3 linked regions of the Rattus norvegicus genome follow. Each later gene encodes a partner of the first gene's protein in a complex. Links are inferred from orthologs where the notes say so. Each region holds a gene or a part of one and is shown on either strand. Other genes may lie near its edges. The genes, in order: Cc2d2a, Tmem67 and Tctn1.

What was found.
Region 2: Cc2d2a (region 1) and Tmem67 share a complex: the UniProt entries of both Homo sapiens proteins name them as parts of the tectonic-like complex. The link is inferred for Rattus norvegicus from reciprocal best matches to the Homo sapiens genes CC2D2A and TMEM67.
Region 3: Cc2d2a (region 1) and Tctn1 share a complex: the UniProt entries of both Homo sapiens proteins name them as parts of the tectonic-like complex. The link is inferred for Rattus norvegicus from reciprocal best matches to the Homo sapiens genes CC2D2A and TCTN1.

The regions. Positions count from the first base shown.
Region 1 is NC_086032.1:71,645,469-71,649,664, reverse strand, and holds the start of Cc2d2a (coiled-coil and C2 domain containing 2A), read left to right. Parts: upstream 1-1,333; 5' UTR 1,334-1,497; intron 1,498-2,561; exon of another isoform or gene 2,562-2,580; intron 2,581-4,196. UniProt on the Homo sapiens protein: Component of the tectonic-like complex, a complex localized at the transition zone of primary cilia and acting as a barrier that prevents diffusion of transmembrane proteins between the cilia and plasma membranes.
Region 2 is NC_086023.1:30,362,632-30,366,279, reverse strand, and holds part of Tmem67 (meckelin precursor), read left to right. Parts: intron 1-1,223; coding exon 1,224-1,380; intron 1,381-2,069; coding exon 2,070-2,193; intron 2,194-3,420; coding exon 3,421-3,526; intron 3,527-3,648. UniProt on the Homo sapiens protein: Required for ciliary structure and function. Part of the tectonic-like complex which is required for tissue-specific ciliogenesis and may regulate ciliary membrane composition.
Region 3 is NC_086030.1:39,994,447-39,998,094, reverse strand, and holds part of Tctn1 (tectonic-1 precursor), read right to left. Parts: intron 3,601-3,648; coding exon 3,466-3,600; intron 2,621-3,465; coding exon 2,495-2,620; intron 2,216-2,494; coding exon 2,130-2,215; intron 1,355-2,129; coding exon 1,214-1,354; intron 619-1,213; coding exon 456-618; intron 1-455. UniProt on the Homo sapiens protein: Component of the tectonic-like complex, a complex localized at the transition zone of primary cilia and acting as a barrier that prevents diffusion of transmembrane proteins between the cilia and plasma membranes.

The sequences.
Region 1 (4,196 bases):
GGGGAAATGGCTCAATCAATAAAATGCTTGCCCAGAACAAATACGGAGTTCAGGTCCCCAGCACCCACATAAAAGCCAAGTGTCTACAGATATCTATAATCCTAGCACTGGGGAGGCCAAGACAGGCCTGTCAATGAAACTCATTGGCCAACAGTCTCCGAAAACAGCATTCCCCAAACATCAGGCTCCAAAAGAGACCCTTTACTGGGATTTTTTTCCCCTGTAAGGAAGGCTGTGACAGTGAGTATGCTGATGGGTTTAGAATTAAATAATTTGAATTATTTCAGAATATTCTGGATTATAGAGTTGCCCCCTAACCACCCGACTCCAGAGTGACGTAGAGCAGGGGGACATTACATGGTAATAAAGCAGTAGTTGGAAATGCTAGCTTGGGGTCAGTTAGTATGTATCAAAGAGAATTTACACATTTCTGAGGAGCCATTAGCTAGGAATTAGCTAGCTTCAGAGATGCATATAATGAATGTCAGTGCTTTATGACACAGAAAATAGAGGCTAGGAGGTAGTTCCATTGGTAAAGGGCTTATCACGCAATCGTGAGGACCTGGTTTTGAAGGTGGCTGAAGCTCAGCATGGTGGTCCATGTTTGTTCTGTCAGCACCAGGGAGGCTAAGACAAGCAGGAATCTGGAGCTAGGCAGGCAGCCTAGCCTAATCACCAAATGCCAGCTTCCAGTGAGAGACCTTATCTAAGAAACAAAATGGCAGGCTTCTGAGGAACAGCACGTGAGGTTAGGAGGCCATGGTCAGTGGAGTTCCTTGATCTGTGGCTGTCCTTGGTCCGCAGAGGCTCTCGGTCTGCTCGTTACTTTTCTCTCTCCTCGGCCTTTTCTCCTATTTTCTTGCCTTTTTTGAGCCATCATGTTTGTATCCCTGCTGAGTCATGTGTAGTAAAGAATTGGAGAATAAACAGAGCATAGGTTTGTGCGGTCCAGCTTCTGTGCACAGCCAGCAAACATGGAGCTCTGATGCCCGGCCACAGAGTCTTTGCTGGTGATGATTAAACATCTCTTCCACATAACATGGCCCCTCCTGATTCTAAATCACTACTCATGAACACCTTCTGTCCTTTGCCCAACATGCCGTGCAACCCAGAGACACGAGGCAGGGTACTATGCTTCCGAGCCTGAGTCCTCTCTGCTCAACTGCCCAGTTGCTTTCCCTTTGTCTCTTCTCAGCACGTTATTTTTCTCTGCTTGCCAAGCAAGCTCATATTTCAAGACTGAAAAGTAAACTGTCACTTTAAAAGGAAAAAAAAGCAGCCGCCTAGTGACCTTCCCTGGGAACTGGTTGCTAAGCTGGTGTTTTTTTTTTTCCCTGAGACATGGCTGCAGCTTCTCAGGGAACAACCTCCCTTACCCCAGCCCACCCCTTCGCTCATTTCTAAAAGATTCTCTAGCTTGACACAACTGGTCTCTCATCTCGTCCCTCCATCCCAGAGAGTGGAATCTGCAAACTTCGTTTTGTAGAGTGGATTAAGGTAAATCGGTTTTTTAAAAGAAACAGGGCTGCAGAGTGTACTGCTTTCACCTCCTTTCCTTCCGGCTTGGAAAGCAGCCCCTCCCTGTGCCATGAGAGTAGACCGAACGCTTTAACATTAGGGACTCTCAGCTCAGCTCGCTTGCAGTTTTACTCTCTGAATGCAAAGTGGGGGGTGGGGCACTGCAGAGACAGCTTTGGTTTCAGCTGCGGTTTGGTCTCTGGCTTGCAGAAGTGCAAACCGATTGGTTCACAGAGAACCTCGCTGGCCAGTGTGCTGCCAACCGCTAGCTCCATGTTGCTTTTTGGCCCTTCAGTTTAAAATGCTCCAAGGAAGAGGAGGGCGGGCTGGAGGGAGTGCTTGGTGCTGCAAACTTCACTTTTCTTGGTATTGGACAAAGAGCTAGGAACCACAGGCCACCAAGCTCCCAGAAAAGTCTACTAGCCATCAGCTGAACTGATTGTTTTCTTTTTTGCAAATGGGTGCTAAGAAAAGCTAATAAAGTCTAATGAGAAATACATGTCTGCTATTGCAAACGTTTCTACAAATAAATGTAACGACAGTATGTTATATGTAGAGGGGGGACTGTATATGGATAGAGGGAAAATGTGTATATATATATAAATAGTTGACCTAGAGTTCACTTACAGAGTTTTTTATTGAGCATCAATAATACGGCAGACAATGAACTCAGGTTTACAGTGTACAAAAACGATGCAGACCAGGTCCAATGCTGAGAAGCATTGGGGAAGCAGATGTATAAACAGATAAGGAGTGCACATGAGATTAGCACCAAGAGGGATTTGTAAAAAGGTCTAAAGAGCTCTACGCACAGCAGGACTCCTGCCACAGCCCCCCTGAGCAACTGAGCAATCCCACTGAGCAGAGCCTGCCCTCAACAAGTGAAAGGTGTCCCCTCCATCTGATTAAATGACCACACACAGCTGTGTCACTCACCTTGAACTCTAGAAGCCGGGGCTAAAATAACTTGCCGTTACATAATTAATCACAGCTCCTGAGAGTTCCCAGCTTTGAGTGGGCCCTCCCACTGGAAAGGAAAAGCCTCCTCTCTGAAGAGAAAAAGTGAGTATGGTAGAGGGGAGGAGGTTCCAGCAACACTTTAAACAGACAAGGAAAGGCCTTGTCCTGGGCATGGCTGGAGGAAGGGGAGAAGAGACTTGCTTAGGGCTGTGAGGGGTGGGAATAAAAACTAAAGAGAGTAAGGGTGCACAACCCCCTAAGGTGTTTTTTATGATTCTCTTCCTCTCTGAACCGATGTTTCCCCTCTTGATCCCTTCCCCCCAACTGTGACCTCTTATGACCGTTCTTGTTGGAAAAAAGATACTCCAAAGAAACATTTGTGCCTCTCCTTCTGCTATCAGACTATTAAGACAATTAACTCTAAAAATTGTATTTTCTCAGTACCAAGTGCTGGGAGAAGGAAAAGATTGGCTCCAAGTACCAACGTGGAGAATGACTACTCTCCAAAAAAGAGTTCTGACAGCTTGTCAGTGACCTTGCATAAGATACTGGGACAGAGACAATGATGTGTCAGTGATGGAAGGACCACACCTTGACCAAAACTGCTTAGTTATATATCCCTCCTGGTACCTTTTATTCAGACCTAAATTTCACATCAGGACCCAGGAAGACAGACTTTGACATCACTGGACACCTATGTTCCACTTCCCAAAGTCACCATATTATCTCTGACTTGTCCATTATTTTTCTCTTTTGTTGCCCTACTGTGGCCGAGCCTATCTTGTTAGAGTTGCCAACGGTTCTGACCCTAACCCTGGCAACATCTATAATAATAAACCCTACCAGTACAGTGAGCCTGGTCTGTGACAGTCACTTTATTGCAATATTTTCAGTACAGAGCCCATAAGAAACCATCGTCACCTGAGGTAGGAAGTATGATTATGAGTTTACAGAATCGGCTGTGTTATTTCAAGATCACACAGCTGGCAAGATGGGAATTTGAACCCAGGACCATGTTTTTTTTTTTTTCAAACGCCTCACTCTTTAAAGCCATAATTTCTTTGATAATTAATACACCATCCTTAGGAGCAGCATCAATTAAGTGCTTTATATACTACAGCCTTTTTCTCTCAGTTCTTCTCTGTATCTGCTGGGTCATCCCTGGGTTCTTGGATGTGACTATGACAGCTGACTTTAGAGATAGGTCCGTGTGGTCAGATAGCAGTGTCGGTACTTTCCGTTAAAAATGTGTTGTTTTTCTGTCCAATGTAAAACAGATTATTGGCCTTGTGTCGCCTGTGTAATGAGGACACTGCTATAGTGTTTGTGGCTTTCCATTGTAAGTATTTCCACACTAAGGATAGTTTAGAAGAGTGATGGTAAACGTGCTTTAGCAAGACTAAAGTGGGACCAGGGGGAACTTTGGGGCCCCGAAGCTCAGAGGGCAGACTGAGCTTGAGATTTAAAGACTGTGACCTCACATAACTTTGGAAATCTTGGTTTGCTTGGGTCGAAGTTGGCATGCGTCCTACTGAGACCTGCTATGCGTGGGTGAGGAGAACTCATGTGTGGAGGGAACGCAAAGCTCCAGTTCTACACGCCCAGGGCTCCTATTCTGACACTGTCACAGAGTGTATTAACAAGTGAGCATGGCAAATGCGACGACAGGGGCTCATTAAAGCTGAGGGGTGTTTATTCATCTGTTCGGGGCCGGTAGT
Region 2 (3,648 bases), on another chromosome or scaffold:
TTTCTCCTTCCTGTCATGACTTTCTTTCACTTTGACACTGCAGTATGGTACAAATGGTAACATTTGAAAGATCTCAGTAGCATATAAAAATGTTTCTTAACGTCTTGTATGTGCACACACACAGAACAAAACCCCAGTGAACAGTGCCTTCCTGAAAAAGTCATTGGAGGAAAATAAACATTTTTATTGATTAATATTGGACAGTTGTGCCAGAGATGATTTTTGTTTTATATCTTATATTTTCCTAATTTTCTACCGTGAACGTGAATTTTATGGTCAGAAGTGGCCTACAAGGTGTTTTGACATCTTTTTATAACAGTGTGGACTACAGGAAGGGAGGCTTTGCAGGTGTGAACTACAGGGTGATGTACCCAGCATTTTCTCAATGAAGTCCCACTCAATTCATAAAACAACTGAGTGAGGAACTTGGTGTCTGTGCTTCAGTGGGACACAGTAATGTTAGGCGATTATAAAATGGTCACCTCAGGTCCATGTTCTGATAGATGTAAAACCATGATTACCGCAGTGTAACTGTTACTCACAGAAGTAGTTCACAGCTCAGTAAGGACCCTAACTATGTAGGCAGAGAATGGCAGCAACTATTCAAGTGTTACACTGTAGACAGGCATACGACATCAGTTCTCGGGGTGTACAGAAGGACTGCAGAGTCAGTGCTACTCAAGGTATACAATGAGCAGAAGTTGGATGGACCATAGCAAGGAAGGAGTCTGTGCAGAACCCACACTTGTGATGTTGGGAGGCTAGGAGGGCCTGGCACGTACATACGTGGAAAGGAACTGGACTGGACTGGACTGGTAAGAGCAGGTGAGTATAGACCGGTAGGGGACAGTCAGAGATGGGCTTAACCCTCCTGAAGGGAGCCAGTCCTGTGCATCAGGAAAAACAAAACAAAACAAAAAAACCTTTTTATTCATCCCGTAGGACAGCACTTTAAGCCTCTTCTTTGATATATATTTAGTATTGGAACTAAAAGCCAATCTCTTCATGTTATAGATTAAAAATAGAAAAGTTCTTCACTGGTTGACATTTTCGTTTTCTTTGTTTTTTTCTTTTTTCGAGTGGTACTTTTAGAAATTTATATTTGGAAGTCTCTTGGAAGTCATGCAAATAATATAAAGATACTTTATAAAGTTAAAAAGAGAAAGTTTGATATGCTTTCTAATTTTGAGTTGTGGTGTGTTTATTTTTATTTTACGTCCTAGTGTGAAATCTCTCTCTCTAAACTCCTGGCTGACTTTCCCAGTCCTGTGTTTTATGATATTTACCTGGAATATACTGATGAAGTGCAACATCATTACCTTTGGGCTATCCCAGTGTTAAACCTCAATCTTCAACATAATAAACTGTTTGTGAACCAAGGTAAGCATTCTCCCCTGCTCTCTCATAGCTGAGATCAATAGATGTAAACCAAATATGATCATTTCAGGAACCAGGGATGATGATGCTGATTGTGGATCCTCTTTTTTAAAAATATTTATATATAAGTACACTGTAGCTCTCTTCAGACACACCAGAAGAGAGCATCAGATCCCATTACAGATGGTTGTGAGCCACCATGTGGTTGCTGGGATTTGAACTCAGGACCTCTGGAAGAGCAGCCAGTGCTCTTAACCACTGAGCCATCTCTCCAGCTCCACCTCCCTTTTTATGGATCCTTTTAGTGTACAATTTTATACAGTATGAGCCAAGGTACAATCAACTAGTAAAACTGCTGCAGCTTTAGGCCATTTATTAATTTGATTTTCAAGATATCATTCCCTTGCTGAGAGTATATCCCTAGAATAACAAATAGAATTGTGAACTGAGACGTTTTCTTCTCTGTTTCCGACCCTATTTTGAGACAAACTAATTTCTTTTGTTGCTACCCATGCTATAAAATGTGACCTAGGCAAGGAGCAGAGACGCCTGACAGTTTCTTATTATGTGGCCATCATACACAAAAGACAAGGTTTTAATGTTGATTTCTTCAGTGAGTGCCGTGAGTGCCGACAGAAGCAGTTTGATCACAGCTTTCCTAATGCTGCCTTTTCCTCTTTTTATAATAACAGACAGTAGCTCCAGCAAGTGGCTTCTGACTCGGCGCATTTTCTTAGTGGATGCAGTAAGTGGACGAGAAAATGACCTAGGAAATCAGCCAAGAGTAATTCGAGTTGCTACCCAGATATCACTGAGGTAAAAGCTGCCTGATGACTATGTAGATGTGTGAAGGTATACACTGAGGAAGGTATACACCAGTCATCACCAGACTGAAACAATAGGGAGAACTGAGCCAAAACAGCACCTAAGCTCTCCCTAGATATGAGTAGATTGGCAGAGTCCAGCAAAGGTTAAAGGATAAAGCTGGAAACTGATACCAGCCGCCCTCAGGAGCTTGTGCGAATTCATGTGTTCTTGACCTCTCGGTACCTGGGGAAGACAGAGGGCTGAGAGAGGAAGGAAGGTAATATCAGTGGCTGCAGTGGTACTTTAGTAAGAGCTTAGGAATAGTGTCTTCAGCCTCTCCAACCTGACTTCTTTTCCTGGCTCTCTGTCTAGAATCTAGAGTCTAGATTGACCCAGATTAGCCAGCATCCCTCTCGTTCTAAAACCCCCCACTTGTAGCGTGGCACCGTGCAGCCTGTGTTCTCTCTTCCATGTAATAGTGGTTCTTGACTGAACCGCCCACTGCAGCGTGTCCTAATGTGCCCTAGCGTGTCCTAACATGTGTTGTGACTGCACTGGTTTTACTCTCAGAGCACTTCATACTCATCGTTTCTCGCTGTTCGTTTGCTCTCATAGTAAGCTTATGGGTGGGGCACCGTGGGAGCCTCCTCGTACTCCATGCTGACACCCATTTGCACTGCTTTAACGTGCTCACCAGCCACTGCAGAATTCCTAACACCAATGAAATCAGACCTAACCACGGTGGGCTTGGCCTCGGTGAGGCCGTGCTGGCACTCTTCTTCTTGGGCTCACTAACTATATGTTACTAATGCATCGTAGCTGCCAAGTTATTCCCGAAACAAAACTAAATGTGTCGTGTGTTTTGGTAAAGATTCATCTTTATCTGAAGCGCCACATTTTATCTGCTTTTGTTTAGGTGCCATGTAGTGTAGCTCTTTCTGCTGTTCCTATGTGTGTCTCACAGCACTTCAGTGGTTATATATATATATATATATATATATATATATATATATATAACACATCTATCAGAGCCTAGTGCTTGTCTCCTGGAGTGTACTTTTGTGTTAAAGTTTTTAACCAATGAGAATGAGCTGTGGTTTAACTCTTAGTTTATACTGAGCCTCCCCTAGTCCTTACTAAAATATCAAGACAGCCTATACCAAATTAAGAGAATGATAAATATATGCCTAAGGGGTTAAATATATTTAGCAGTCTGAGTTTATTTTCTTTTAACAGCATACGCCTTGTACCCAACACAAAGAATGGAAACATCTACACTCCCTTACTCACCATTGCCTACAGTGACATTGACATCAAAAATGCTTATAGCCAGTCTGTGAAGGTGAGTTCTTCGTCAGTCAGTGACCTTGTGTTTGCAAATGTCACTGTAATGCTGTTGTAGCTTATCATGGTTAAGGTGATATATTTTAAAGTTTTAAACAAATCCCTTTGTTTATATACTCA
Region 3 (3,648 bases), on another chromosome or scaffold:
TGCCTACGGGCCTTGTCTGTCTCCTTTCTATCCAGAGGCAGTTCTTTGTCCCTGCAGGGCATTATCACACCCCTAACCCCCATCCCTTCTTACTTTCTCCTTCCCCCTCATCCTCTATCTCCTGTTTTTGTCTCTTATTCCTTGCCCTCTGTCCCTCTGGGGCAAATACATCTCCTCTGTGCTGAGAACTTGGTCTTGGGGTCCTGTGCTGTCCTGGTCCATTCAGTTTCCACATCACAGGGAAGCAAACAGACGCTTGAAAACTACTCATCAAGGCACGTGAAGAGGAGCGAGCTGGAAACCCACCCAGCTTGGTTGTAGCCTTCTTCCTCCCTCCCCCTCCCTGAAACCTGCCTGCCTGCCTCCCTCCCGCCCTGGTGCCTCCCTAGCCTCCTGTGGCCCACCAGGCAGAGGAAGGCACACTCGAGGGGGGCCAGCAGCCTCTCAGTCTTTACCTTCGTGTTGGAGGAGTGGGTGACAAAGTGCACAGGCACCCAGTCCTGCACATCCTGGGCTCGTGAGTTCCCAAACGCAGCCACGTAGTCAGGGAAGGCCTGGCCTCTCAGCAGATCCTGCATCTTCTGTGCCAGAAGCCCGCATGGGATGGTGCCTGTCAACCTTTGAGAAGGAAAGAGAGGCCAACAGAGGGAGGAGCTGACAACCTCCAAGACATGTCAGCCTCTACACTTCTTCCTCCCTCTCCAAAAATGTGATCCTCCAATTGCTGACATGGCCCTGCCTTTGCACATCCTGGTCATGGAGATAGCCCAAAGCAGCTTCCCAACTTGTCTCCCACTCCCCTGCCCCCTCTGAACATTGTGCCATGGGCAGAAGCCAGGAAACACAGTGGCTTTCTCATGTCTCCTGGCATCCTGTGGCAAAGTGTTCGGTGGAACTCTTAGGAAGAAACACTGATCTGACATCTAGCAGTCAAACTAACAACAGAGTCACTGCAAAGATGTGGGAAGGGTACAGGGGAAGGGAGATGAGAGGAGCAAAGAGAAGGGTTTGTACAGAGTAGGAATTCATCAACAAATACACAGACCCAGAGATCCATAAATGCCATTGCAGATCTCAGAAGGCTCAGGCAGGAGGGCCAGGAGTTCGAGTCTGCCCTGAGCTACACAGGGTTAGGGTCAGCCTCCACTGTGACGCCTGTGCTATCGATGTGGCTAAAGCTGAAGGATGTGTGATCTCTGCCACAGCCACTCACCTGAGCTGACAGCCAGACTGCACATTGTAGCCAAACAGCACAGGAGCCCGCTGCCCGTGGCTGGCCAGGCAGTCCTGCTTGCCTGTGCTACGAAGAATAGTAAGCTGGCCTTGTCTGTTCGTTGTCTGAATAATCCCAGACATTCACAGACTGTTAAGGGACAGTCAACACTTCCAGAGCAGTCAGACTGTCTAGGAAGAAAATGGCTTCACGCATGCTGTGAGACCTGAGTGAGACGCAGGCTCCTCCAGGCCCTGGCCTATTACCAGGAAGGGTAACACGGCAGCAAATCTCTTTCTTGATTGGCTCATCTTCCAAACTAGTTCCAGCCAGCTGCGGTGGCCAGGCCCACAATCAAGCCCCTCAAAAGGCTGAGGGGGGCACATTTGAGGACCACCTGAGCTACAAGTGAGCGTGAGACCAGTCAGGGTGACCGACTTGCTGGAACCTTGTTTCGAAATGAAGTGTAAGGTGAGGGGGCTGAGACAGGAGACTCCTCAAGTCACCGCCACAGCCAGCCTGAGATTGGAAGCGATGCCAAAGAGTGACCTTTGACCTCAGCACTCAGGAGGCAAGGCATCCTCCTGAGTTTGAGGCCACCCTGGCCTACATAGTGAGCTCCAGTACGCAGTGAGAGACTTTCTTAAAAACAACTGAATAAATGAATCAAAGATTAGAAGAACCCTCTGCCTCCAGCTGTCCTTTTAAATGCACTGCCATCTTCCCCAAAGCACCAGACTCCATTTAAACCAGCCGTGCCACATTTCAGTGGAACGCGCTTTCAGTGGAAGCTCTGGCCAATCAGGTACCTCCTTCCCATAGGCCGCCCACAGCGTCTCTGGCAACAAATGGAAGCACGGCCCACCATGCAGACAGGGAAGGTGACCTTCTCCACAGACCCGGAAAAAAAGGATACCCCTTCTGAGGCTGAAAGCCAGCGGCCAGCGGGAGTCCCACTCTGTAACCAGGGTTGCCACTGAGAGGAACAGGCTTGGTGCCATGCTGAAAGACAAGGTGATGACCTGGGCAACATTATTTAGGTAAGAGCGGGGGCAACACAGTGCTTCTCACTGTAACATCTGGAAGAGCAGCTCCCTCTGTTCTGAAGTATAAATAGATCCCAGAGAGTGGGAGGACAGCGCTCTGTGAGCCTGCAAGGCATGGGACAGCACCCGGCTTCCAGGCAAACCCCACACATTACTGCAGCTCAGGCTGGGAGCTGGGTCATGCTTCTCCACTGTCAGTGCTGCCCCCAGAAGCCAGGCTTCCTCTCAGACTCACCTGAATAAAGTGAATCTCAAACTTCTGCTGCAGGAGACTCACGGTGCTGATGAGCGTCCCCAGCACGAGGGAGAGGCCGGCTTCCTGGATCTGGCCGCTGGCTGTGTATAGCAGACTGTACTTTACCTGGGGAAGAATGGGGCTCAGCAGCCATGTTACCAACTCCAACAAAGCAGCCACAGAAAGACCACAGCCCCCAAGTCTGCTGTCCAATCATGTCACTCGTATCCCCTTAGCATCCTAGTGGACAGTCACCTCAGCCTCTCTGTACCCAGGGTTTTGACATTTCAGATCAGCTGACTCAAGCACAATGTGAACAGCCTATTTCTGCAGAAGAAATGAGTCCCATCAAATGGTGGTAGCGATAAATTGTATGTATGGTGCCTGTGACTGAGTGTGAGAGAGTGTGTACCCATGCCTGCACATGCAGAGTGTGAGCGAGTGTGAGAGAGTGTGTACCCATGCCTGCACATGCAGAGGCCAGAGGCCAGAGGCCAGAGAGTGACACTGGGTGTCTTCCTCTGTAACTCTCAGACTTACTGCCTGGAGACACAGTCCTTCATTGAACCACAAGCTCTATTTCAGTGAGGCTGGCTGACTCTTGGGGATCTGCTGTCCCCCAGTGCTGGGGTTATGGTGGTAGCCATGCTTGGCTTTTTACATAGGTGCTAGGGATTTGACCTCAGGTCTGCATCCTTGTGGAACAAACACTCTTACTCCACTGAGCCATCGTCCTAACCACTGACAAGAAAAATGTGATGTATTCCTGCAAGGTATTGGATCATGTAGACAGGTGAAGGCCTGCTCTCTGGCGGGAGAGCAGAGCAGCAGGAGCAGCTGGAGGTCAACCAAGAAGAGAACCAGCACGGTAGCGACCAGCAGTCCAGCAGGGGAAGGTGTGAAGTTCCCCTGCAGCCAGCAGGCTGGAGTCAGGCAGTTGGAGCAAGACTGCAGACACACTGGATGCCTACCTGGAGAACAACGTTGCTGCAGAGTCTGTCTTGCCCAGTGCTGACCAGAGATGGCCGCAGGATACCACGGCCTTCTAACTGGGTCAGTGTGTGATTCAGAGACCGATACATTATAGACTGGATCTTGATGGAGACCTGAGAGGGAAAGTATCTTGGTCATGAGGCTACCAGCCACATCCGACA